Linked DNA regions of Saccharomyces cerevisiae S288C. The protein of the gene in region 1 interacts with the protein of each later gene in a biochemical or structural test. Each region holds a gene or a part of one and is shown on either strand. Other genes may lie near its edges.

Region 1 (9,245 bases):
GTAGATTTAGGTTTGCGTTGATTATTAGGCATCTATTGACAAAGAAACCCATTTGTGCATTGCGTTTTTACAGTGTTATTCGTAACGAAATAAGAAAAATATCAGCATTTGAGCAAAATTCGGATTGTGTTCCACTTGCTTTCGATATTTTAAACTTATTAGTGACGCATTCAGAGTCTAATTCGTTAGAAAAACTTCACGAAGAATCCATTGAACGTCTAACCAAAAGAGGTTTATCGATTGTGACTTCTTCTGGTATATTTGCGAAGAACTCCGACATGATGATACCTTTAGATGTAAAACCTGAAGATATCTATGAACGTAAGAGAATAATGACAATGATTTTATCAAGGATGTCATGTTCTGCTTAGAGGTGTTACATAAACTAATGAAAGAAATATCAATATCTATCTGTAAGCATGAATGTACATATCTCATGTTAGGGTTTTCTTATCGCTAATTTTTCGCAATTTGTTACGTGGGTTGCTTTTATACAGCTACAATTTTTATATATTCTATCGTGTAATGAATGGCTCAGTAAATTCAAGCGCCACATAGACTAATGTACATACCAATGCATTTTAATTGTAAGAATAAAAGGGGCCATTCATCTACCGTCTTAGTTGAAAGTGTTTCTGTGAATTTTTTCAAATTCCGTTTTTTCCTTTTTATATAATAGCATGGTGGCACGAGCATCTTCGACTGAAGAATGCTCACCTTCTTGAATGGAAATTTTTAAAACCTCCCTGGTTAATTTCTTTAAGCTGGGTGTTTTACCCTTAGCATACAACTTCCTGAATGGGAGGTGTCTTGAAGTGTCCCTGAGTAGTGACTTTGGGTGGGATAACATCAATGCTTCGAGATCATGCTTTAAAGCGTGCCCTACAAGAATTCTACCTTCCAGAATATCCGCAGTCTTTTTTTGAGCTTCTTTGAATGTAATGGCATTTTTCATATGCTCTGGTTTAATACCACTAACCCAAGTTCTCCATTCTACAACTTTCTCTCTTGGCTTAACAAATTCATCGAGGACGACATGTCCAAAATAATTTACGATTGATATTCTAGCTAACGCAGACTCTTTACCCTCGGGACCAACGCCTACAAATTCACAATCCATGGCGATGTATTTCCCAATTTCTTTACTCTTATTACTATTAATACGAGTATCTTCCGAAATACCCACTTTTACTGGCTCTTTAATAGTAGTACTAGTATTTGCTTTATTTGGGTTGAATTCAAACACTTTTCCCTCGAGCTTGTCTTTCTCATGCTTACTAATCTCCTTGTTCATGTTATATACCATGTCCATAATTTTACTGCCGTTTTTGCGCTTTCGAGGGGCATATTGGGTTGTACTACTGACATTTACTGTTTTGCTAACTTTCTTAACGTTTCTGATTTTCCTATTTGATTGCTTATTCTTTCCATTGGAGGTAGGATTGCTTTCGGAGGCTAATAGTGCCTGCCAGTTTGAAGAGAGAGCCATTAAAACTGTACGCTATCTACTTTATTAAATCTGTAAACGTCTATGAAGCCTCTAGAACCAGGCTTTAAATGGATTGTGGTTGCGATGAGGTTAGTTTAACTTTTGAAATTTTTCTTTTTTTTAGCCGACCTTACATATCAGCCCGCGTCAAAAAATATACGGTATAATAATTCTCAATAGATACAGGCTACTGAACAGGAAAACTAAATAAAACAGTGTTTGTAAAACCCCCACCACACCATAATAAGACGATAATGGACACGGTGACGGTATTAAATGAACTGCGGGCTCAGTTTCTACGAGTGTGTCCGGAGAAAGATCAAATGAAAAGAATAATAAAACCGTACATACCCGTAGATGAATTCAACACAGAGCAGTGCTTAGATTCTTCTATCCGTGAATTATATATGAACTCAGACGGCGTAAGCTTGTTACCTGAACTAGAGTCTCCACCGGTATCTAAGGATTTTATGGAAAACTATGCTTCATTAGGGAAAATGAGGATAATGAGGGAGAATGAAGGCCAAAAAGGAAAGGCTAACCAGAATTTAATAGGAGCAGAGAAGACTGAAAGAGACGAGGAAGAAACACGAAATTTGCAAGATAAAAGTGCAAAAAATACTCTGATAGTTGAAGAAAATGGAACACTTCGTTATAATCCACTTAATTCATCTGCGTCGAACTCTCTTTTAAATGATGACGACCATACCAGTGGAAAACATCACAAAACTTCCTCAAAGGAAGACTCATATTTAAATAGTTCGATGGAAATGCAGAAGAAATCTAGTAAGAGATCGTCGCTTCCTTTCGTGAGGATATTCAAAAGTCGAAGGGACCACTCAAATACTTCTGGAAATAAAAATGTCATGAATACAACTAATACAAGAGCAAAATCATCTACTTTGCATCCACCTGGTGCTCGCCATAATAAGAAAGGCAGTAAATTCGATATGAACTTCGATTTCGATGAAAACTTAGAAGAAGAAGATGATGACGACGACGATGACGAAGAAGGTGACGATATACACTCTCAATTTTTTCAGTTAGATGATGATTTTGATGCTAAGGGTTCTGGAGCAAGTCCAGCCCACAAAGGCATCAACGGCATGTCCAACAATAAAAACAACACCTACACAAATAACAGAAACAGCATCAGCATTCTTGATGATCGAGAGAGTTCAAATGGCAATATAGGAAGTGCTTCAAGGTTAAAATCTCATTTCCCCACAAGTCAAAAGGGGAAAATTTTTTTAACTGACAATAAAAATGATGGACAAAAATCTGATTCACTGAATGCCAATAAAGGTATACATGGAGATGGAAGCAGCGCCAGCGGTAACGGATCGGTGAGTAGGGACGGTTTGACGGAAACGGAAAGCAACAATATTTCCGATATGGAATCTTATATCAATGAAAAAGATTTAGATGATTTGAATTTTGATACAGTGACCTCAAACATAAACAAAACAGTATCTGATTTGGGAGGACATGAATCTACAAATGATGGAACGGCGGTCATGAACAGGGATTCAAAAGACAGCCGCAGTAATAGCAATGAATTCAATGCACAAAATCGTGACCGAATCACTCCTGGCTCATCATATGGGAAGTCCCTTTTAGGATCTGAATATTCCGAAGAACGTTATTCTAATAACGACTCGTCAACCATGGAGAGCGGTGAAATGTCTCTTGATTCAGACATGCAAACTAATACTATACCCTCTCATTCCATACCAATGTCTATGCAAAAATATGGCATCTATCATGGCGATGATGACTCTACCTTAAACAATGTCTTCGATAAAGCCGTACTGACTATGAATTCATCGCGACACCCAAAAGAAAGGCGCGATACTGTTATATCAGGAAAGGAGCCAACATCCTTAACCAGTTCTAATAGAAAATTTTCTGTTAGCTCGAATTTAACTTCAACAAGGTCTCCTCTTTTACGAGGACATGGAAGAACTTCATCGACGGCCAGTAGTGAACACATGAAAGCCCCAAAGGTTTCTGACAGTGTATTGCATAGGGCAAGGAAGAGCACGTTGACGTTAAAGCAGGACCATTCTCAACCTAGTGTTCCATCAAGTGTCCATAAAAGCTCGAAAGAGGGGAACATCCTTATTGAGAAAACCACCGATTATCTAGTGTCGAAACCGAAGGCCTCACAGTTATCGAATATGTTCAACAAAAAGAAAAAGAGAACAAATACTAATTCTGTAGATGTGTTAGAATATTTTTCATTTGTTTGCGGAGATAAAGTACCAAATTATGAATCAATGGGTCTCGAAATATACATTCAAGCTTCCAAAAAATATAAAAGAAATTCCTTCACTACCAAAGTCCGAAAATCGTCTACCATCTTCGAAGTTATTGGATTTGCTTTATTTTTGTATTCTACTGAGAAAAAACCGGACAATTTTGAAGAAGATGGATTGACAGTTGAAGACATTTCTAATCCTAATAACTTCTCTTTGAAAATTGTCGATGAAGACGGTGAACCTTTTGAGGATAACTTTGGTAAACTAGATAGAAAAAGCACTATTCAATCAATTTCGGACAGCGAAGTTGTTTTATGTAAGGTTGATGATGCCGAGAAGTCTCAAAATGAAATTGAAACACCTTTACCATTTGAAACTGGTGGGGGCCTAATGGATGCTTCTACTTTGGATGCTAACAGCAGTCACGATACAACTGACGGAACCATCAACCAACTAAGTTTCTACAAACCTATTATAGGTAATGAAGACGACATCGATAAGACAAACGGTTCGAAAATCATTGATGTAACAGTATATTTGTATCCTAACGTGAATCCCAAATTTAACTATACTACCATAAGTGTTTTAGTGACCTCACATATAAACGATATTTTGGTAAAATATTGCAAAATGAAAAATATGGATCCTAATGAATATGCATTAAAAGTTCTAGGAAAGAACTATATACTGGACTTGAATGATACGGTATTAAGGCTCGATGGTATTAATAAGGTGGAACTCATCTCTAAAAAAGATGCAAGGGAGTTGCATTTGGAAAAAATGAAACCTGACCTAAAGAAGCCCGTTTTGCCAACGATCCAAAGTAATGATCTAACTCCGTTAACTTTGGAGCCTCTGAACTCTTATCTCAAAGCAGATGCTGGAGGGGCTGTGGCTGCCATTCCTGAAAACACGAAAGTTACATCCAAAGCTAAGAAGATATCCACGAAGTATAAGCTGGGCTTGGCAAAGCAGCATTCGTCATCAAGTGTTGCTAGTGGAAGTGTTTCAACGGCTGGCGGTCTCGCCAATGGAAATGGGTTTTTCAAGAACAAGAATTCATCCAAATCCTCTTTGCATGGGACACTGCAGTTTCATAATATAAACCGTTCTCAGAGTACGATGGAGCACACGCCTGACACTCCAAATGGAGTTGGAGATAACTTCCAAGATCTTTTTACCGGAGCGTATCATAAATATAAGGTATGGAGAAGGCAGCAAATGTCATTTATAAACAAGCATGAAAGAACACTAGCCATTGATGGCGACTACATATACATTGTACCCCCGGAGGGACGTATACATTGGCATGATAATGTAAAGACTAAGTCGTTACACATTAGTCAAGTGGTTCTTGTCAAAAAATCCAAAAGAGTCCCTGAGCATTTCAAAATTTTCGTAAGAAGAGAGGGGCAAGATGATATCAAAAGGTACTACTTTGAAGCAGTTTCAGGTCAAGAGTGTACTGAGATCGTGACGCGATTACAAAACTTATTAAGCGCTTATAGAATGAATCATAAATAAGTAAAACCCATTATACTGCATCTTACCAGCATTAATTTTGGTTTATATCTAAATATGGTATAGAAAATACTTCATCGCGATCTCGATGGTGATTGGTCAGAGTCCGCTTCTCGATGCAAAGGGAAAAAAAAGAGCTTTTTAGGAGCAAGTCCCCCCATAGAGCACATAACTCGTTAGCATTGAATAAGGCCAGGTGACTTCAAATAATAATTTATAACTACGACAATGGGTGCTGCTTATCATTTCATGGGGAAAGCTATCCCTCCACACCAACTAGCCATTGGGACATTAGGACTGCTAGGTTTATTGGTTGTTCCAAATCCTTTTAAAAGCGCAAAGCCAAAAACAGTCGACATCAAAACAGACAACAAAGACGAGGAAAAATTCATTGAAAACTACTTAAAGAAACATTCGGAAAAGCAAGATGCGTAAATATAGCTTGATTGCTGCGCGGTTGAAGATCTTTTGTACATACAATAAATATTCTTTATATATACAGCTTTCGATATTCAAGATTTAAACATTAAATTATTAAAAAGAGGTCTATAACTAGACAGTTGCTACATCCACTCTTTTCTTGTTATATCTTTTTAATATACAATGTTATGTAAAACTCTCTGATAGTATTATGCTTATTATTTAAACAAGGCATCGTTTGATAAAGGATCGGCGGCAAGAACATTCTCTCTTCTCTTAATTTTTCTTTCCACAGCAGCTTCAGCTCTAGACTTTGCCTCCTCAGCAGCTTGTTGTTTAATTTGAGCTCTTACGACGTTTGGCGAAACATATTGTTTATTTTCATAGATCTTTGGACCACCAAATGAACCTTCTAGGATCAAAATGACAGTCATAACAAACCTAGGGCCAATTTCCACTAATGATATGTCTTCTTCGCCATCTTCATATTCTTCTTTGTTCTTAGTACTGTGTGAGATCTCATATGTCCTCACCCATATTTTATCATCTACAATACTGAAGGACATGACGTGATCAATAAATGGCTTAGATTTTCTAGCATTTGGTGGTACACCAAAATTATGCACTAGCAACTCCTTAATTAATTGGTAGTGTGGGGAGGATTCGAAACGTTGATCAAACGACAATACCGGACGAGAACCCTTTAAACAGTTACCTGTAAAATTCAACTCATCCATAGTATGCAAGTTTTGAATGTAAAATTTTATAGTTGGCCCATTTGGCGGCTTGGATAACCATAGATACAAATCTTGGTGTTTTCTGGCCTCAAAGAATAGAACATTATTACAATTGTACAACTCAGCGATTTCGTTCAACTGTTGAAGATCCTTTTTAGTATCCAATTTTGGCTCCTTTCTGGAATGAGGCAATAATCCGCTTAAGTCTTGAATTAAATGACGATGTCTATAGTTAACACCTCTACTCGAAATCAGAAGAGTTCTTTGCTTGTTCATAAATTGCTTGACATTGCCTTGCTTCTTTTCAGATTTATTATCTTTGCTCTTTCCTGCGAGGGCTTTGTAGATAGAAGACATCTTTGGTTGAACTCTTTCAACACCTGACGAATGTATAAAGAAAGACGTGAAGCAAAATAAGGCTAAGTAACCTTCTAACTCGTAAATATTATAGCAATTTCTGTATCTTTTTAGGTGATAGATTCTTTGAGAACCATCGCGATGAGCATCTAAAATTTTTCAGTCACCTTTAACGAAAATCACTGTCCACGGACCGCCGAGGGCTTTAGGAAAATAAATAATAAATGTCAGCTGCAACAGAATTCATTGGCGAAGCAACGATACATAACGAGCTCGGTACAGCAATCATCGCATCGAAGCATGTCCGACAAGATACAGGAGGAGATATTAGGACTAGTAAGCAGGTCCAACTTCAAACAATGCTATGCAAAACTGGGGCAATTGCAAAAACAATTTCCCAATGCGTTGTACTTCAAGATTTTGGAAACCTATGTTAAATTCAAGCAGTCACCTGGTAAGTTCGATTACAATAAACTGCTAGAAGAACCATATGGGCTGAAAGGGACAACGATTACGGGCGACACGCGTTCCTTGGAGTTTTTGCACAACTTCTTCGTAGAGTTAGGGAAATACGACGAAGCATTGCACGTGTATGAAAGAGGAAATTTCAAATTCCCTAGCTACGAATTGTCTTATCACTGGTTTATGAAAGCATTGGAAGATTCCAATTATAACCAAATGAGCAAAGCATCTCTACAGCTAGCTAAATACAGTGACAGTGGAAACCTGCCTAAAAGAGCATATTATTTTTGGAATGCAATCTCGATTTTAGCCGTATCAAGGTTTCAGGAAAACACTCTTTCAGATCCCAAGAAAATTTTGCTCTCCAGGCTAGCGCGCCAGTCTTTGTTAGACTTGAAACCATTTCAAAATGTTCAAGAGATTATAGTTTATTGTTTGGTGTTGGATGAACTATTCCCTCAATCTAGAGAAATCTCGGAAGAGATTGTTGCGATTACCTTTGCCAATTTTGATACTTCAGTAAACTTGTATTTGAAAAACTTTATCTTGAAGCATACCAAGTTATTGAATTCTCCACAAAAACTTTTTGAAGTTTGTTCAAAACTTATTGAAAAGGGCCTTGATGATTATGAATTGATCACAAACTTGATTGATGCTGCCTACAAACTTTCTAAATCTAAAGACGAAGTCAAACAATGGATTGATGAAAATTTGGGAGACTCAAGGAATACTCGATTGGCGCGCTTGAAACTTGATATAATGTACACCGATTCGGTTTCGGAATCATCTTTGTCGTACTATTTATCAAAGTACCATAACAAACCTTGTTGTTCAATCGATTTGAATCATTACAGCGGCCACATTAACATAGATATGCTTAAGAGCATTATGTCTAAGTACGATCCAGAGGATAAGGATTTGATTCATCATTGTAATATTCTAGAATTGGGACTTATTGGAAGCGACTCAATCAATAACTATAACAAGTTTAAGGGGACCCTGGAAAAAAAATCGGTAACGGATTATTCCTCCTGTTCTACATTCTTATTAGAAATAGTCAAGGACAAGTGCAAGAAAACTAATCCTGAATTGAAAGACGTGCTTTTGTGTATAACGATATTGGAAAATTACCAAGCCAAGGACCCTCATAACTTCGATACTATGTGCTGGCTGATTGTTTTATACATGTACCTGGGTTTAGTTCCCGATGCTTATTTCCATTTCATAAACCTAAAGATTAAAAACGTTCAAACAGATTCCCTAGATTACATGATATTCTCGAGATTTTCTACTTTGTTCCCGAATAAACAGAGCGATTTTTACTCCAAGACATTCCATGAACATAATAATTTATACGATACATCACTGGCTAATTTACCAAGATATATTCAGGTGGCATTCGAAAGAAATTCATATAGCAAAATACTAGGAATGCTCGAGATGAGGGATAAACTAATGAAATCCTATACAAGATGGACCAAAACTTTAGAAAACTTACAGTTCTCACGTTTATGCAACGACAAGCGCGGCCACCTACTACAAAAATTACACGAAGATTGGAGATCTTTAGAAATGACGCAAAGTGTATCATTTTCTGACAATAGAGACTTTTCCATATTAGATGAAAATTTTGCCCAATTTCTTAACCGTGGTAAAATTTTGGAATATGCTAACTTGAATGAAGAATCAATTTTTCTAACTTTGATAAGAGAACTTATTATTGAAGCTTTGCCAAATGGGGAGAAAACGGAACAAATAAGTGCGCTCTTAAAAAAACTTCCATCAATTAACCTTGAAGAGTTGTTGAATAATAATTTAACTGAAGTGGAGTCAGCGTCATTTCTGATTTTTTTCGAAATTTACGAAAATAACGGTAAAAATCTACATGATTTAATTTCTAGGTTGATGAAAGTCCCAATAAATGCAAAACAAAACTGGATGGTATCCCATACTTACCTTACTAAAATGGCAACCTTAAAAACACTAGACAGTTTGAAG
Region 2 (7,840 bases), on another chromosome or scaffold:
CAAGATATGTGAGCAAGAAAGACAGTGAAGTGAATATGTGTGCATTGTGTCCCGTTCTAATTGAGCACAGTAACATTAATTCCGAGAAGAAGTTTGTTAAGAGCCTTACCTTGTGTAGATTACCATTCGCGGAAGACGAGAGGGTAACTGATTTTCCAAAACTTCTGGATCGAACAACTACATCCGGGGTACCGCTGAAAAAGGAAACAGACGGGCATCAAATCGATGAGCTTATGGAACAATTTGTAGATTCAATGGATACAGATGAGCTACCAGAGATTCCGTTAGGCAACTACTATCAACCCATAGGCGAAGTAACAACAGACACCACTCTCCCACTTCCCTCTTTAAATAAAGACCAAGAGGAAAACAAAAAGGATCCTCTTAGAATACCCACGGTTTTTGTCTACAGGCAACAACAGGTGCTACTGGAATGGATTCACCAACTGATGATCAATGATTCCAGGGAATTTGAAATCCCAGAGCTTCCTGACTCATTGAAAAACAAAATAAGTCCTTACACGCACAAGAAATTTGATAGCACAAAATTGGTTGAAGTGCTCGGCATCAAGAAAGTAGACAAATTAAAACTCGACTCCGAACTAAAAACTGAGCTTGAGAGGGAAAAGATCCCGGACCTAGAAACGCTATTGAAGCGCGGTGAACAACACAGTAGGGGAAGTCCAAACAATAGCAATAATTAAAAAAGGTCTAACATCCTTTGAGTTATGTTTTCGTCACCACAGTTAAAGAGAAAAAAAAATAAATAGCGGGTAAATAATTGTCATACTACTGATTTGCATTGTTACCTTGTAACTTTGAACACTAGCCATGCAGGTTGCTTTTCCTCCTTTACACCTTCCCCCCTGTCGCTGTTCAAAAGTAAATGCAACAACAATAAAACGTGGGTAGAGGACGTTCCCTGTATGTACTAAAATCATACTATCATCCGTTGAGGTCGAGCGGTTCTCTAATCTCAACACACGCTGCTGCCCCTGAGCTTGCGAGCTAAGGACAACAGGGCCAACTTGTTCTTTCTAGGGGGGAGAGGCCCAACTTAGGCTCGGTGAAGAGAAGCGCGGAGCTCACGAAAAGGGGTGGTGTCGCGCACTACTTTTTTCGTGGGGAACTTACGTGAAAGGGGACGTTATACTTTTGTTATGTGCAGTTCCAGGAACAAACAGGGGTTGAAAAGTGTAAAAGAAATAGTTGATTCTTTCAGAATCTGGATGACTGCCGCCCGAACAATGTGGGAAATATAAAAAGGTACCGTTAATATTGTTTCATTTTCGAAGATAGTGTTCCATGTCTTTCTTCAGCGTTGCTTGAACAATAGGATAATAAGAAGAAGATCAACCAATCTTTCTCAGTAAAAAAAGTAACAAAAGTTAACATAACATGTCATTTCAAATTGAAACGGTTCCCACCAAACCATATGAAGACCAAAAGCCTGGTACCTCTGGTTTGCGTAAGAAGACAAAGGTGTTTAAAGACGAACCTAACTACACAGAAAATTTCATTCAATCGATCATGGAAGCTATTCCAGAGGGTTCTAAAGGTGCCACTCTTGTTGTCGGTGGTGATGGGCGTTACTACAATGATGTCATTCTTCATAAGATTGCCGCTATCGGTGCTGCCAACGGTATTAAAAAGTTAGTTATTGGCCAGCATGGTCTTCTGTCTACGCCAGCCGCTTCTCACATCATGAGAACCTACGAGGAAAAATGTACTGGTGGTATTATCTTAACCGCCTCACATAATCCAGGTGGTCCAGAAAATGACATGGGTATTAAGTATAACTTATCCAATGGGGGTCCTGCTCCTGAATCCGTCACAAATGCTATTTGGGAGATTTCCAAAAAGCTTACCAGCTATAAGATTATCAAAGACTTCCCAGAACTAGACTTGGGTACGATAGGCAAGAACAAGAAATACGGTCCATTACTCGTTGACATTATCGATATTACAAAAGATTATGTCAACTTCTTGAAGGAAATCTTCGATTTCGACTTAATCAAGAAATTCATCGATAATCAACGTTCTACTAAGAATTGGAAGTTACTGTTTGACAGTATGAACGGTGTAACTGGACCATACGGTAAGGCTATTTTCGTTGATGAATTTGGTTTACCGGCGGATGAGGTTTTACAAAACTGGCATCCTTCTCCGGATTTTGGTGGTATGCATCCAGATCCAAACTTAACTTATGCCAGTTCGTTAGTGAAAAGAGTAGATCGTGAAAAGATTGAGTTTGGTGCTGCATCCGATGGTGATGGTGATAGAAATATGATTTACGGTTACGGCCCATCTTTCGTTTCTCCAGGTGACTCCGTCGCAATTATTGCCGAATATGCAGCTGAAATCCCATATTTCGCCAAGCAAGGTATATATGGTCTGGCCCGTTCATTCCCTACCTCAGGAGCCATAGACCGTGTTGCCAAGGCCCATGGTCTAAACTGTTATGAGGTCCCAACTGGCTGGAAATTTTTCTGTGCTTTGTTCGACGCTAAAAAATTATCTATTTGTGGTGAAGAATCGTTTGGTACTGGTTCCAACCACGTAAGGGAAAAGGACGGTGTTTGGGCCATTATGGCGTGGTTGAACATCTTGGCCATTTACAACAAGCATCATCCGGAGAACGAAGCTTCTATTAAGACGATACAGAATGAATTCTGGGCAAAGTACGGCCGTACTTTCTTCACTCGTTATGATTTTGAAAAAGTTGAAACAGAAAAAGCTAACAAGATTGTCGATCAATTGAGAGCATATGTTACCAAATCGGGTGTTGTTAATTCCGCCTTCCCAGCCGATGAGTCTCTTAAGGTCACCGATTGTGGTGATTTTTCATACACAGATTTGGACGGTTCTGTTTCTGACCATCAAGGTTTATATGTCAAGCTTTCCAATGGTGCAAGATTCGTTCTAAGATTGTCAGGTACAGGTTCTTCAGGTGCTACCATTAGATTGTACATTGAAAAATACTGCGATGATAAATCACAATACCAAAAGACAGCTGAAGAATACTTGAAGCCAATTATTAACTCGGTCATCAAGTTCTTGAACTTTAAACAAGTTTTAGGAACTGAAGAACCAACGGTTCGTACTTAAAACGAATGATTTACTAATGGCTTAATGATTTTCACCTTTTTCAATGAATATTAACGGTAAAGAAGAAAATTTCAATTTTTTGAACACATACTTTATATACTTAATAGATCCATATTTCGACATATTAGCAAACGATTGCATAGGTTTCTGAGTCTTTTTTTTTTTTTTTTCATAAGGAGGAGAATATTTTGGTTAATCGCAGTATCTTCTTCATAAGTGCTGTTTCTAATTATATCTAATTCACGAATTTTTCCCAAATTAGCGTATCCCCGAATTCAGATTACCTACCCCGAGTTTTTTATTATATTTCCCTCGAGAAATCTGTAAAATGGCCGTCATCCTTAGATTTATAAATAAAATGATAAAATTCAGCCAAAGTGCTCCTAAACCAGAATTGTTCAACTGGGTCAAATTATCGCGTATACAAATATACATATAGTAACATGCATTCCTGGCGAATATCCAAGTTTAAGTTAGGAAGGTCCAAAGAAGATGATGGGAGTAGTGAAGATGAAAATGAAAAATCGTGGGGTAATGGCCTGTTTCATTTCCACCATGGAGAAAAACATCACGATGGTAGCCCGAAGAATCATAATCATGAACACGAACACCATATAAGAAAGATCAATACAAATGAGACTCTCCCAAGTTCCTTAAGTTCTCCAAAATTACGTAATGATGCATCCTTCAAGAATCCATCGGGGATAGGAAATGACAATTCTAAGGCTTCCGAAAGGAAAGCTAGTCAGTCGTCTACTGAGACGCAGGGACCGAGTTCGGAATCCGGACTAATGACAGTGAAGGTGTATTCTGGTAAAGATTTTACTCTTCCCTTCCCTATCACCTCTAACTCTACTATTTTACAAAAACTACTAAGTTCCGGCATCCTTACTTCATCATCCAATGACGCTTCCGAAGTTGCAGCCATAATGCGGCAGCTACCACGATACAAGAGAGTGGATCAAGATTCAGCAGGGGAAGGCTTGATAGATAGAGCTTTTGCCACTAAATTCATTCCTTCCTCTATATTGTTACCTGGGTCAACAAATTCAAGCCCATTACTTTATTTTACAATTGAATTTGATAATTCTATTACTACTATTAGTCCAGATATGGGAACGATGGAGCAACCAGTGTTTAACAAAATATCGACATTTGATGTAACAAGAAAATTACGATTTTTAAAAATCGATGTCTTTGCAAGGATTCCATCCCTACTTTTACCCTCTAAAAACTGGCAACAGGAGATTGGCGAGCAGGACGAAGTACTGAAGGAGATTTTAAAAAAAATCAATACAAATCAGGATATCCATTTGGACTCCTTCCATTTACCTTTGAATTTAAAAATCGATTCTGCAGCCCAAATAAGACTATACAATCACCATTGGATTTCTTTAGAAAGGGGATATGGTAAATTAAATATCACGGTGGACTACAAACCTTCTAAGAACAAGCCTCTCTCCATTGATGACTTTGATCTATTGAAGGTTATCGGGAAGGGTTCGTTCGGCAAAGTGATGCAAGTAAGGAAAAAAGATACCCAAAAGATTTACGCTTTGAAGGCTCTGAGAAAAGCATATATTGTATCGAAATGTGAAGTGACACATACTTTAGCGGAGAGGACTGTCCTAGCAAGAGTTGACTGCCCCTTTATTGTTCCGTTGAAGTTCTCATTCCAATCTCCGGAGAAGTTGTACCTAGTATTAGCTTTCATTAATGGCGGTGAACTGTTCTACCATTTACAACACGAGGGACGATTCAGTCTAGCACGCTCCCGTTTTTATATTGCAGAACTATTATGTGCTCTCGATTCATTACACAAACTTGACGTCATTTATCGTGACCTAAAGCCTGAAAACATTCTATTGGATTACCAAGGACATATTGCACTGTGTGATTTTGGGCTTTGCAAGCTGAACATGAAGGATAATGACAAAACAGACACTTTCTGTGGTACTCCCGAATATTTGGCACCAGAAATCTTGTTGGGGCAGGGCTATACTAAAACAGTTGACTGGTGGACATTAGGTATCTTACTGTATGAGATGATGACAGGGCTGCCACCATACTATGATGAGAACGTTCCTGTTATGTACAAGAAAATTCTGCAGCAACCGCTACTATTTCCTGATGGATTTGACCCTGCGGCAAAAGACCTATTAATTGGCCTCTTAAGCAGAGACCCAAGCAGAAGACTCGGCGTTAACGGTACAGATGAAATTCGTAACCATCCTTTCTTTAAAGACATCTCATGGAAAAAGCTACTTTTGAAGGGCTATATTCCGCCTTACAAGCCAATTGTAAAGAGTGAAATAGATACTGCAAATTTTGATCAAGAGTTCACTAAGGAAAAACCGATCGATAGTGTAGTGGACGAGTACTTAAGTGCAAGTATTCAAAAGCAGTTTGGTGGGTGGACGTACATTGGTGACGAACAGTTGGGTGATTCTCCTTCGCAGGGGAGAAGCATTAGTTAGAAGCAAGCCGAAGCAAGCCGAGCCGAGCCGGACGGAATTTATAGCTATAGCCGCAAGAGGTTGCAATTTTCAAAAATGGATAGTTCAAGTAGATTGCGATACGCACTCCGTTACTATTGTGGTTAACGGGGACAAGAAGAACTACAGAAAATAGAATGGTCCGCAGAGGCTGCGCTCTTCTTTTAGCAACTCTCACACGACTTATGTTGCTTATTCATTTCTTTTACAGCATTATCAGAATTCTTCCATCTACGGAATTGAGATCAAAGACCGACCTGTTGTCGGCCGAAGGACGGACGCTTATACCCGCGGATGTCAAAGCGAAGCCCGCGGGGCGCAAGTCGAGGTTACCGGAATTCGCCAAACGGCAAAGGACCCTTGCATTGCCTGAAAGGAAAGATTCGCTTTTCTGTTTGTTGCCACTTTTCTTACATAGTCTGGGCCGGGAGCAGCTTATTTCTTCCGCGGATGATCCTGGATTTCCTTGCGCGGGCTCAGCCATGGGGAGCCTTACCTAGTCCCGTAAAGGGAAAAAGCTAACCTCATTCGCCTCACAGGGTGAAAGCGTGAACAAAAAAAAAAGAAAAGCTTAATGATTAAAATTTACAGTATATATATATTTGTATTTACGTATTAAACTATATATAAATAGATATGTATGCCGAAAAAGTAAAGTCTGGGTGATGCCTAGTCCAATCTTTCTTACTACTGTCCAGTTTCTATCGTAGCAGTTAATTATACATAGAACTGTGTAAATTCAACGCATTAATTTTTTTTTTTTTCACTTTCGCAGTTAGGGGGGACACATTTTTTTTGCCCTTTCTTAAGCTTCGTAAGCGAGTTACATCATTATTTCTTCCTGGGATACAATACGCGTTCGTACAAGTCACAGCTGGACCGTATAGGGAACAAGACTGCAACTCTCTCCAACTTGTTAAACAGAGGAGGAAAAGAAAGAGGGAAAAGAGGAACAAAGACAATCAAAGAAAAAGAATAGAAAGCAGTTGCTGAGCTCTTGGCATATTGTATACGGTAGTGGCGTATAATATAGTACGAGAATTAGAAATATGACGAATATGGCGGAGGATAAAACAAGTATAAGCAAGGTACATTCTGAATTCAGCAATTCCTCGAATACCACTGGATCTGAAGAGGAGAGTCGGTCGCATCAAGAGAGCTTCGACGGCGAGTCCAGTTCCGGTGAAAGTAAAAGTAAAAGCAAACTAAATCTTGAATATTCTGCAGATATCGAGCCATTGAAGTTCAGAATGACAAAAACTAATAATACAAATGACAAATTAAAATATAGTAACAACGGCAACGCCACTGATTCATTTATGAGACTAAAGGAACATTTACAGAGAGGCAATACTTTAAATTCGAATCTTAGGGTCAATGAGTTTTACCCTTTCAATTCCATTGATACAGAGCAATTTGAAAACTATTTGAGAGAGCCAAAATACATTAAAATGTTGAAACGTCGGAAAAACCTGAAACAATTTAGAAGATTGTTTCTCGCGCAAGAACTAATGGCCTACGAAGGTGAAACGGTTACCTCCACTTCCAAATCATCTGAACCAACCTCTAAAGCTATATGGAGTACAAAGTTTAGCCGCGATGGAAAATTTATGGCCACTGGTAGCAAAGATGGTAAAATAAGAATATGGAAAGTTATTGGCTCTCCAGTTGAAAGAGCCGAATTGGACTCGAGTGCGGAATCAAATAAAGAGGCACGAGCCAAGTCGATGCGGATCAAACAGCAGGTCAGTTCATTGAACAATCCAAAAGAAAAACAATTTTTGGATTCTGCTACAGAGAAATACGAAGAGAAGGAAAAATTATTGAATTTGTATGCGCCTGTCTTTCACCCAACGCCTTTGCGACTGTATAAAGAACACGTGCAAGATGTTCTGGATATAAATTGGTCTAAAAATAATTTTATTTTGTCAGCATCGATGGATAAGACAGTAAAACTATGGCATCCCGATAGGAAAAATTCACTTAAGACATTCATACATCCTGATTTTGTCACTTGTGTGGAATTTCACCCCACCGACGATAGATTTTTCATTAGCGGCTGTCTGGATCACAAATGCAGGTTATGGTCTATACTGGATGATGAAGTTAGCTTTGAGTACGATTGTCAAGACTTAATAACATCTGTTACATTATCCCCTGAGGAGGGAAAATACACTATAATAGGAACATTTAATGGATACGTTCATATTCTGATGACCAGAGGTCTCACTCCAGTT
Region 3 (7,188 bases), on another chromosome or scaffold:
GAATACAGTTTCATTCTCACAAACCAAATAGAAACAATATTGTGAACAATTCAGGGATTAGCGCGGCGAACACAACAGCCGATCTAACTAACAACGATTTAAATGACTTAATTTCAAGAGAGTATAGTTATGAAAGATTTAGAAATCAAAGTGAGCCCCCTTCGCTACCCAAAGTCACTCATCAGAATCAGAAAAATCGTAGATCTTGGCCTACAAAAGATCTAGAATCTACTGATTTCAGCTCTTTGGAAGACTCATTACCTTCTAGCATCTCTCCTCCTATACAGACAACAAGCACTATAAATTTCAACTGGTGTTTTAAAGAAGAGAAAAACAATGACTTAAAATGCAAATGGAAAGAATGTCCTGAGTCTTGTAGCTCACTATTTGACCTACAAAGACATCTTTTGAAGGATCATGTCTCTCAAGATTTCAAACACCCTATGGAACCATTAGCTTGTAATTGGGAGGACTGTGATTTCCTTGGAGATGATACATGTTCCATAGTGAACCATATTAATTGTCAACATGGTATCAATTTTGATATTCAATTTGCCAACCCAGACTCATTTTTGCCTGGTAGTATATCAAAGGAAAAACATCACTTACTACATTGCCCCAACCCACAAACACACGAAGTTTCTAAAGCAGATGGAGCACCTGATATGACGTCTGCAAATGATGTTTCCAATATACCGCCAATCAAGCAGCCGGAACAGGTGATTTGCCAATGGGATGGTTGCAATAAGTCATTTTCCAGTGCTCAGGAATTAAACGACCATTTAGAAGCAGTACATTTAACCCGGGGTAAGTCTGAATACCAATGCTTGTGGCATGACTGCCATCGTACGTTCCCCCAAAGACAAAAATTAATCCGTCATTTAAAAGTGCATTCGAAATACAAACCTTATAAGTGCAAGACATGTAAAAGGTGTTTTTCAAGCGAAGAAACTTTAGTTCAGCATACCAGGACACACTCTGGCGAAAAACCTTACAAATGTCACATTTGTAATAAAAAATTCGCGATTTCAAGTTCTTTGAAGATTCATATAAGAACCCATACTGGTGAAAAACCTTTACAATGCAAGATTTGTGGTAAGAGATTCAACGAATCGTCAAATTTGAGCAAACATATTAAGACCCATCAGAAAAAATACAAGTGCTCTGACTGTTCCAAAAGCTTTGACGATTTGGGAAAATTGAACTCACAGAAAGTGAAATGCGCATTGGAAAGAAAACCATATTTATAAATGTGATCATCATGGTCCAACGTAAGAAGGGCGGTTTTCAGGATCACATAAATGCATAATTAGAAACATTTCATATTTTACCTAGACTACTTTTTATTTATAATTTTTCGCAAACTCTTTTTTGTAAGCTTTTACAGTACACTTTTTTTACGTAATAACGTATTTCAAGCTTTATTTTTTGTATACGTTTCAGAAAAGGGGGTGGGGGGGAAGGACATTGTATATATAGATCCTATGAGTGACAACTAGGTAACCGAAGAAACACTATTAGATATATAGTTTGAGGGATAGCATAAGTAGAACTTAGAAATGAGTTTAGTACCATATGAAGAAGGTTCGCTGATTTTAGATGATCCTAATTCTAAATCAGTGGTGGTTGTTAATCCAACCTCAGGAACTTTATCATTTTTCCAACAGGACAACAGTAATAATGACTCTGAACTAAATGAAGACCAGACTGCATCTTTATCAGCACTGGACTTTCCTTCAGGGATTCATCAATACAAAAGCCCTATTGCTTCCTATGTGTGCCCGCAATGTGGTACGGAAATTAACCCTGATATTATAAACAGAAGACAACTTCATCGTCGAGCCTCTGCTGGAGTAGAATCAGAAAGCAGTAGGCTCAGTATTCCAGAGAACACTGTGCCACTTGGATTTGAATTTGCCAATTCAAGCTTTTCAAGAAGATATTTTCAGTCATTGGAAAGAAATCATCGGCACTACGCCCTACAAAACGATAGTAACAATAAGCAGGGACAGTTCAGCAAAAACAAATACTTTATTCCAGATGATTTGTTTATCCCCGGATACTTTCGTAAATTTTTCAAAATATTGTCTTTGCTGGGAAATGGTGCAAGAGGTTCTGTTTACAAAGTTGTACACACAATTGGTAATACTGAATTAGGTGTTTTTGCACTAAAAAAAATACCTATTGGAAATGATATGGAATGGTTTAATAAGTGCATACGGGAAGTGAAAGCGTTGAGTTCGCTAACTCACAAAAGTGCCAATTTGATTACGTATAATCATGTGTGGCTCGAAATGGATTCTTCGGTTGGATTTGTCAGATCCATTGATGGGAGCCAATCGGATTCACAAGAAGAAGTTCCTTGTATTTTCATTTTACAACAGTATTGCAGTGGCGGCAATTTAGAAGACTGTATTCTAAGAAAAGTGTTCAATAGGTTCTCAGATACCGAATCACCTGAAGAGAGGAAAAAAAAATTTAGAACTCGCAAGAAAAATCACGGTAAATCAGGAGAAGTTGGCCTATCTACGGAACAGCTCGTATCCATTATAAGGGATATTGCAAGAGGTTTACACGAACTGCACAGTATTGGCCTAATACATAGGGACTTGAAACCATCCAACTGTTTATTATTGACTCCATTTAAAAGTGACAATGAGAATGACAACGTATACGACAGGGAACACAATTCAGATGAGTTTTTCCCATCAATTGTTATTGGCGATTTGGGGGAAAGTCAGTTGGAAGGAGAGTCCAGATTGGGTACTGGTTGCACAGGAACATTAGAGTTTACAGCACCAGACCTTATTATCCAGGGGAGACCAGTTTCTTCTTCTACGTTGCCTTCAAGATCGAGTCACACATACAATGAATACACCTTTGCTTCCGATATGTATTCTCTAGGAATGATTTGCTATTTTATTGTCTTCGGTGAATTGCCCTTTGAACCACAGTTGGATATAGTTGATTTGAAGGTACGCATCAAAAATTTTAGGTTCGACACTGAAGGTATGATTGAAAAGCATCAAGCGATGAAATTGAAACCAATAGACCGTAGAATATTTCACCTAATGGACGCTCTTTTACAACCAAATAATGATGCTAGACCCACAGCGAAGACAGTGGAGGAGACGTTAGATGAAATGCTAATAAATTCCAAACCCGGCAAAAAATTCTGGAAAGAAAATGTGGATAGCACTTTGAACTTCAGTACAATCTCGGAAGTGAATGAGAATACCAACAGTTTTACTGATGATTATATTGACGGAGACAACGTTACTTTATCATTACCAGCACCAGAGGAAAATTTGAGCACCGTATCAACCCAAAACCTCCAAAAGTATTCTGCTTTAAATAGAACAATCCAGGTTTGTTACAAACTAGTTTCTATGATATTAACGATAATCATATTTAAGTGTACCAAAACGGGGTCGTGGCTCTCTTATATGTCACTGATATTGTTGGGAATGGTTTTTAAATCACCAGCTGATGAAAGAGGTAAGCATGCAAGAGCGTTGGTTTTACTGGCCTTCATCGCCGCATGCAAAAAATACATATACTAACAATAAGTACACATTGCAAACTAAATAGCACGTAATTTATTTTTACTTTACAAATTTATAGAAAATATTCTCGCTTATCACCAATGTTCACGAATCATCTTCACCTCTTCTAAGGGCCGGTGACAAAGGTGCATAATGTTAGAAAAATTGACCGATGAGTAAATTTATAGAGGGAATAACCAAATGAAAAGATCTAGGTGACAGAAACGCCAATTGACCTCTGTAGAAATAAAGTTCTTTCATTATGACAGCAGAAGATATACTCCTTCGAGAAAGAACATCTACTACGACACAACGCCCTGTCAATAGCGAACAATACCTTAATGTGCAATTAGCCACAGCCCCAGTAAAAAATTTTCAGACTACAAGCGAGATTAGCCGGCAAACTCTTGTAGACACATCAAATGATGACGTTTATTCCATCAAGAATTTGAAGGGCTCGAGGAACCCCATTAGCCCTAGTGTTTCTAACGTTGGCTTCCAATCCATATTCCATACAGTAGATCATCCTCGATCGAAGGTCAGTGTGGCCTCAAATCATTCCTTGAGGAGCAATGACAATGCCTCAGCTGCAACATCTAAATCTGGTTCTTCTCAGATAGGGGAATCTCATAGCGTTGACACGGTGGAGTGCTCGAACAATCTATCTAAAAAGTTATCTTCTGATGCAATATCCATTACTCAGAAAAGTTTACACTCCACGCCCTCCGGCAGGTATATGAAAGGAAAGGCTTCTGGCTTTTTTAATAGGAGAAACAGAGCACATACGACCATTTCATCGGATCCTGCCTCCTTTTTGACAGATTCAAGCACCTTACATAATAGTTCACATTCATTTCGAAACGTGATTAAGAACTTTTTCCAAAATAAAAGCCACAGGCACATTGGTCAAGATGCTATCGAGCCTGCAATTCCAAATTCCTTGAGTAAATTTCTGCATTCCTCTTACGGAAGACATAAATCTCCGTCACAATTTATTCATACTAATGCGGGGCAACTTGTGGACTCAGGAACTTCTGTGTACTCATTGAATGTTAATCCATCTGGTGTCAATCCCAACACAATCGTTGAGGATCCGCTTTCTGGAACTGATCCTGCCTCACCGAATCCGGTCTCAATGTTACACGACCTTTTAAGAAATTTACCATCTCTGGAAGCTAACTATAAACACTTCAACTCCCAAGAACTGACAACCCTAACAAATAATATTTGGAATATATTTTGTAGTAACGTAGCAGAATTATTCAGAACTCAAAGAATATGGAAACTCAGGGCCAAAATAGAAAATTTTAACGAAGTTTTAGAATTCTATTGCATTTTAAAAACAGATCCAAGAGTCACACATAGCGGCATGAATAGAATTATCAGCGATTTGAAAGAATTTTTGGTTAGTTCCCTATACAATTTAGAAAACCAAATTGTTTTTAACTATTCTAATGAAGACACAATAAATAACGCATTGAAAAGATTAGGCGTTATATGGCGGATATTTTATCAAGAGGTATATTATGATTTAGCCGCTGTGTTATTACCGTTGGATCAGAGTATCAGAGAAGATGGTAATTCTACGGTTTTAAAGTCAGGCAATGAAAGTCGGACTCACATTAATGGTAATTATTCTATTGGGTTTCTTTTGCTTATGTGCTTTAGAGATTCAATAGTCTTACCTTGTTATGAAAACTTCGTAAATAGTAACGATGGTATCAGCAAAAGTTTTCAACTTTACATTTTCAATCAAGAAGAAGAAAGTAATGTCACAGAAACAGATAAATTGACATTACTGCAGTGTTTTGGCATATTGAGTACCATTCAAAGTAATGATAGAAATCAACGAATTATCGAAGAGTTATTAGCAGGCATTAGAATGAGTATATAGAAAGCATCTAACACTTTATTTCAATCTCCTATTTAATATCACAACAAAACTTTATTCCATCCTACACCAAGGTCTGTCATCGGCAATTTGATGCCTACAAAGTTTGGGTTCTAGCCCCAAACCAAGTAACGCAGCCAAAAAAACGCCAAAGGAATCAGCGATGGACACAGCACCCATGGCGAACTCTGTTTCATCAGGATCCTCTTGTTCGAGAATATTTAAGAATGTGTTAACATATGACGCACCACCAAGAAAACCCTCATAGAATATTAATATCATCACCGCCCAGGGCGAATGTGTGACATAAAACCATGATTGCAGTACCGTTATGCACAAATTCACACCTTGTAAAAACGCTAAGATGTATAAACTCCTCATTCTCATAAGATGTCCAAAGGATCTTGATATAAAGACACCTAATTGGTAGAGCGTTCCATAGGTTACGTATATATCTCTGTATTTATGGAAGAAAAATGGCATCGATTTACTTCTTTCATCACCATTAATCGGAAATAATAGGGTCGGAGCTACCGCTTGGTTTATTAAATATTCGAATAAGTAGACGGTGGTCAATGGAACCATGTATGGAAAAACCAATCTTCGAAGTCTCTTGACCGTTTGCAAAATGTGCTGTCTTGTAGAATACAGGGATTGCGAAGCGTTGGTATGTGTAAAGGCGACAGGAAAGGGCACCAACTGGTCATCCTCTGCTTCGTCAATTTGTTGAAGACTTTGGTAAGTCAGGTTGGTATCATTGGATTCTAATTTAAAATAAAACAAAAATGCAAATGGAAGGAGACTAAATACTAGTAAAGTTAGCTTCACTGGAACTTTAAAGATTGAAGTTAAGAACATATAAGATGCTCCGCCAATGATTCCTGCACCACCAGTACCTGACGACCATCCATTCAAAGAAATTTGTTTGTAATAGTGTGTTAGCTGTAGGAATGTCACTTCTCCAAATCCGGAAGATATAGATGCGAAAGATATTCCTAAAAGACAAACAAACAAGTTTTTAAAAGAAACTAAGAACATTCCTAAGCAACTCATCGTGATCAAAGACCATATTCTATAGCTGTACTTGATTCTATCAATAAAGAATGGGGAACACAATTTAATGGCGAGTGATGGGAATATATCTGCTAGCAATACTAGAGATTTAGGCAAGGTAGGACCCACGATATCAACAGCTGCTGAAAGTATTACCACATAAAGTACATTATTGATCAAACCAAAGAGCCAAAAGTAGCAATATATCTGATGAGATTTGTCACTCATTTATATTTACTTGCGCTATATCTTCATATGTGTTTAAGTACTCTATAAATACACTGTTCAAAACATTACTAAATGTTCATATTGTCTATTTTTCATTAAGGGTTCACTTTTTCTTGTAGTACGCGAAGAAAATATGGAATTATTCTGGAATATTGATGTTTATATTTACCACTTCTGCATAAAAATATACATGCTTTATAAAATCTATATATTGAGAAAAAGGAGTATAAAAAAAAATTTATCTTATAAGTAGTCCTTGAGTAGTTTTAATCTCTCTACGGCATTTTCTAGATAAGCATCATCTTTACAAACTGCAAACCTTAACAAATTCTCAGCAGCCTTTTCGTGCTCTTTGATATAGAATTCAGTTGGTGGAATGGCAACCACACCTAATTCATTGATCAACCAGTGAGAAATGCGAAAATCTTTTCCCTTATTCAGGATCTCCTCTGGGTAGGGATAGTCCTCGGG

What was found.
Region 2: the proteins of AVO1 (region 1) and YPK2 form a complex in vitro, tested with the Saccharomyces cerevisiae proteins (one study listed by BioGRID).
Region 3: the proteins of AVO1 (region 1) and BIT61 form a complex in vitro, tested with the Saccharomyces cerevisiae proteins (one study listed by BioGRID).

Annotation. Positions count from the first base shown.
Region 1 is NC_001147.6:179,939-189,183, forward strand, and holds AVO1 (Avo1p), read left to right. Parts: upstream 1-1,743; coding exon 1,744-5,274; downstream 5,275-9,245. Other genes in the region: Ras GTPase activating protein IRA2, read left to right, coding at 1-371; REX4 (putative 3'-5' exonuclease), read right to left, coding at 620-1,489; ATP19 (F1F0 ATP synthase subunit k), read left to right, coding at 5,500-5,706; ribosome biogenesis protein BRX1, read right to left, coding at 5,910-6,785; MDM20 (Mdm20p), read left to right, coding at 7,086-9,245.
Region 2 is NC_001145.3:471,165-479,004, reverse strand, and holds YPK2 (putative protein kinase YPK2), read left to right. Parts: upstream 1-3,551; coding exon 3,552-5,585; downstream 5,586-7,840. Other genes in the region: ATP-dependent DNA helicase YKU80, read left to right, coding at 1-704; YMR105W-A (uncharacterized protein), read right to left, coding at 747-941; phosphoglucomutase PGM2, read left to right, coding at 1,399-3,108; YMR103C (uncharacterized protein), read left to right, coding at 5,741-6,103; LAF1 (Laf1p), read left to right, coding at 6,653-7,840. UniProt on the Saccharomyces cerevisiae protein: Plays an essential role in the proliferation of yeast cells. Involved in a signaling pathway, required for optimal cell wall integrity, that acts in parallel with the PKC1-SLT2-dependent pathway.
Region 3 is NC_001142.9:324,493-331,680, reverse strand, and holds BIT61 (Bit61p), read left to right. Parts: upstream 1-3,807; coding exon 3,808-5,439; downstream 5,440-7,188. Other genes in the region: ZAP1 (Zap1p), read left to right, coding at 1-1,250; protein kinase IKS1, read left to right, coding at 1,560-3,563; amino acid transporter YHC3, read right to left, coding at 5,491-6,717; BNA3 (kynurenine--oxoglutarate transaminase), read right to left, coding at 6,961-7,188. UniProt on the Saccharomyces cerevisiae protein: Component of TORC2, which regulates cell cycle-dependent polarization of the actin-cytoskeleton and cell wall integrity.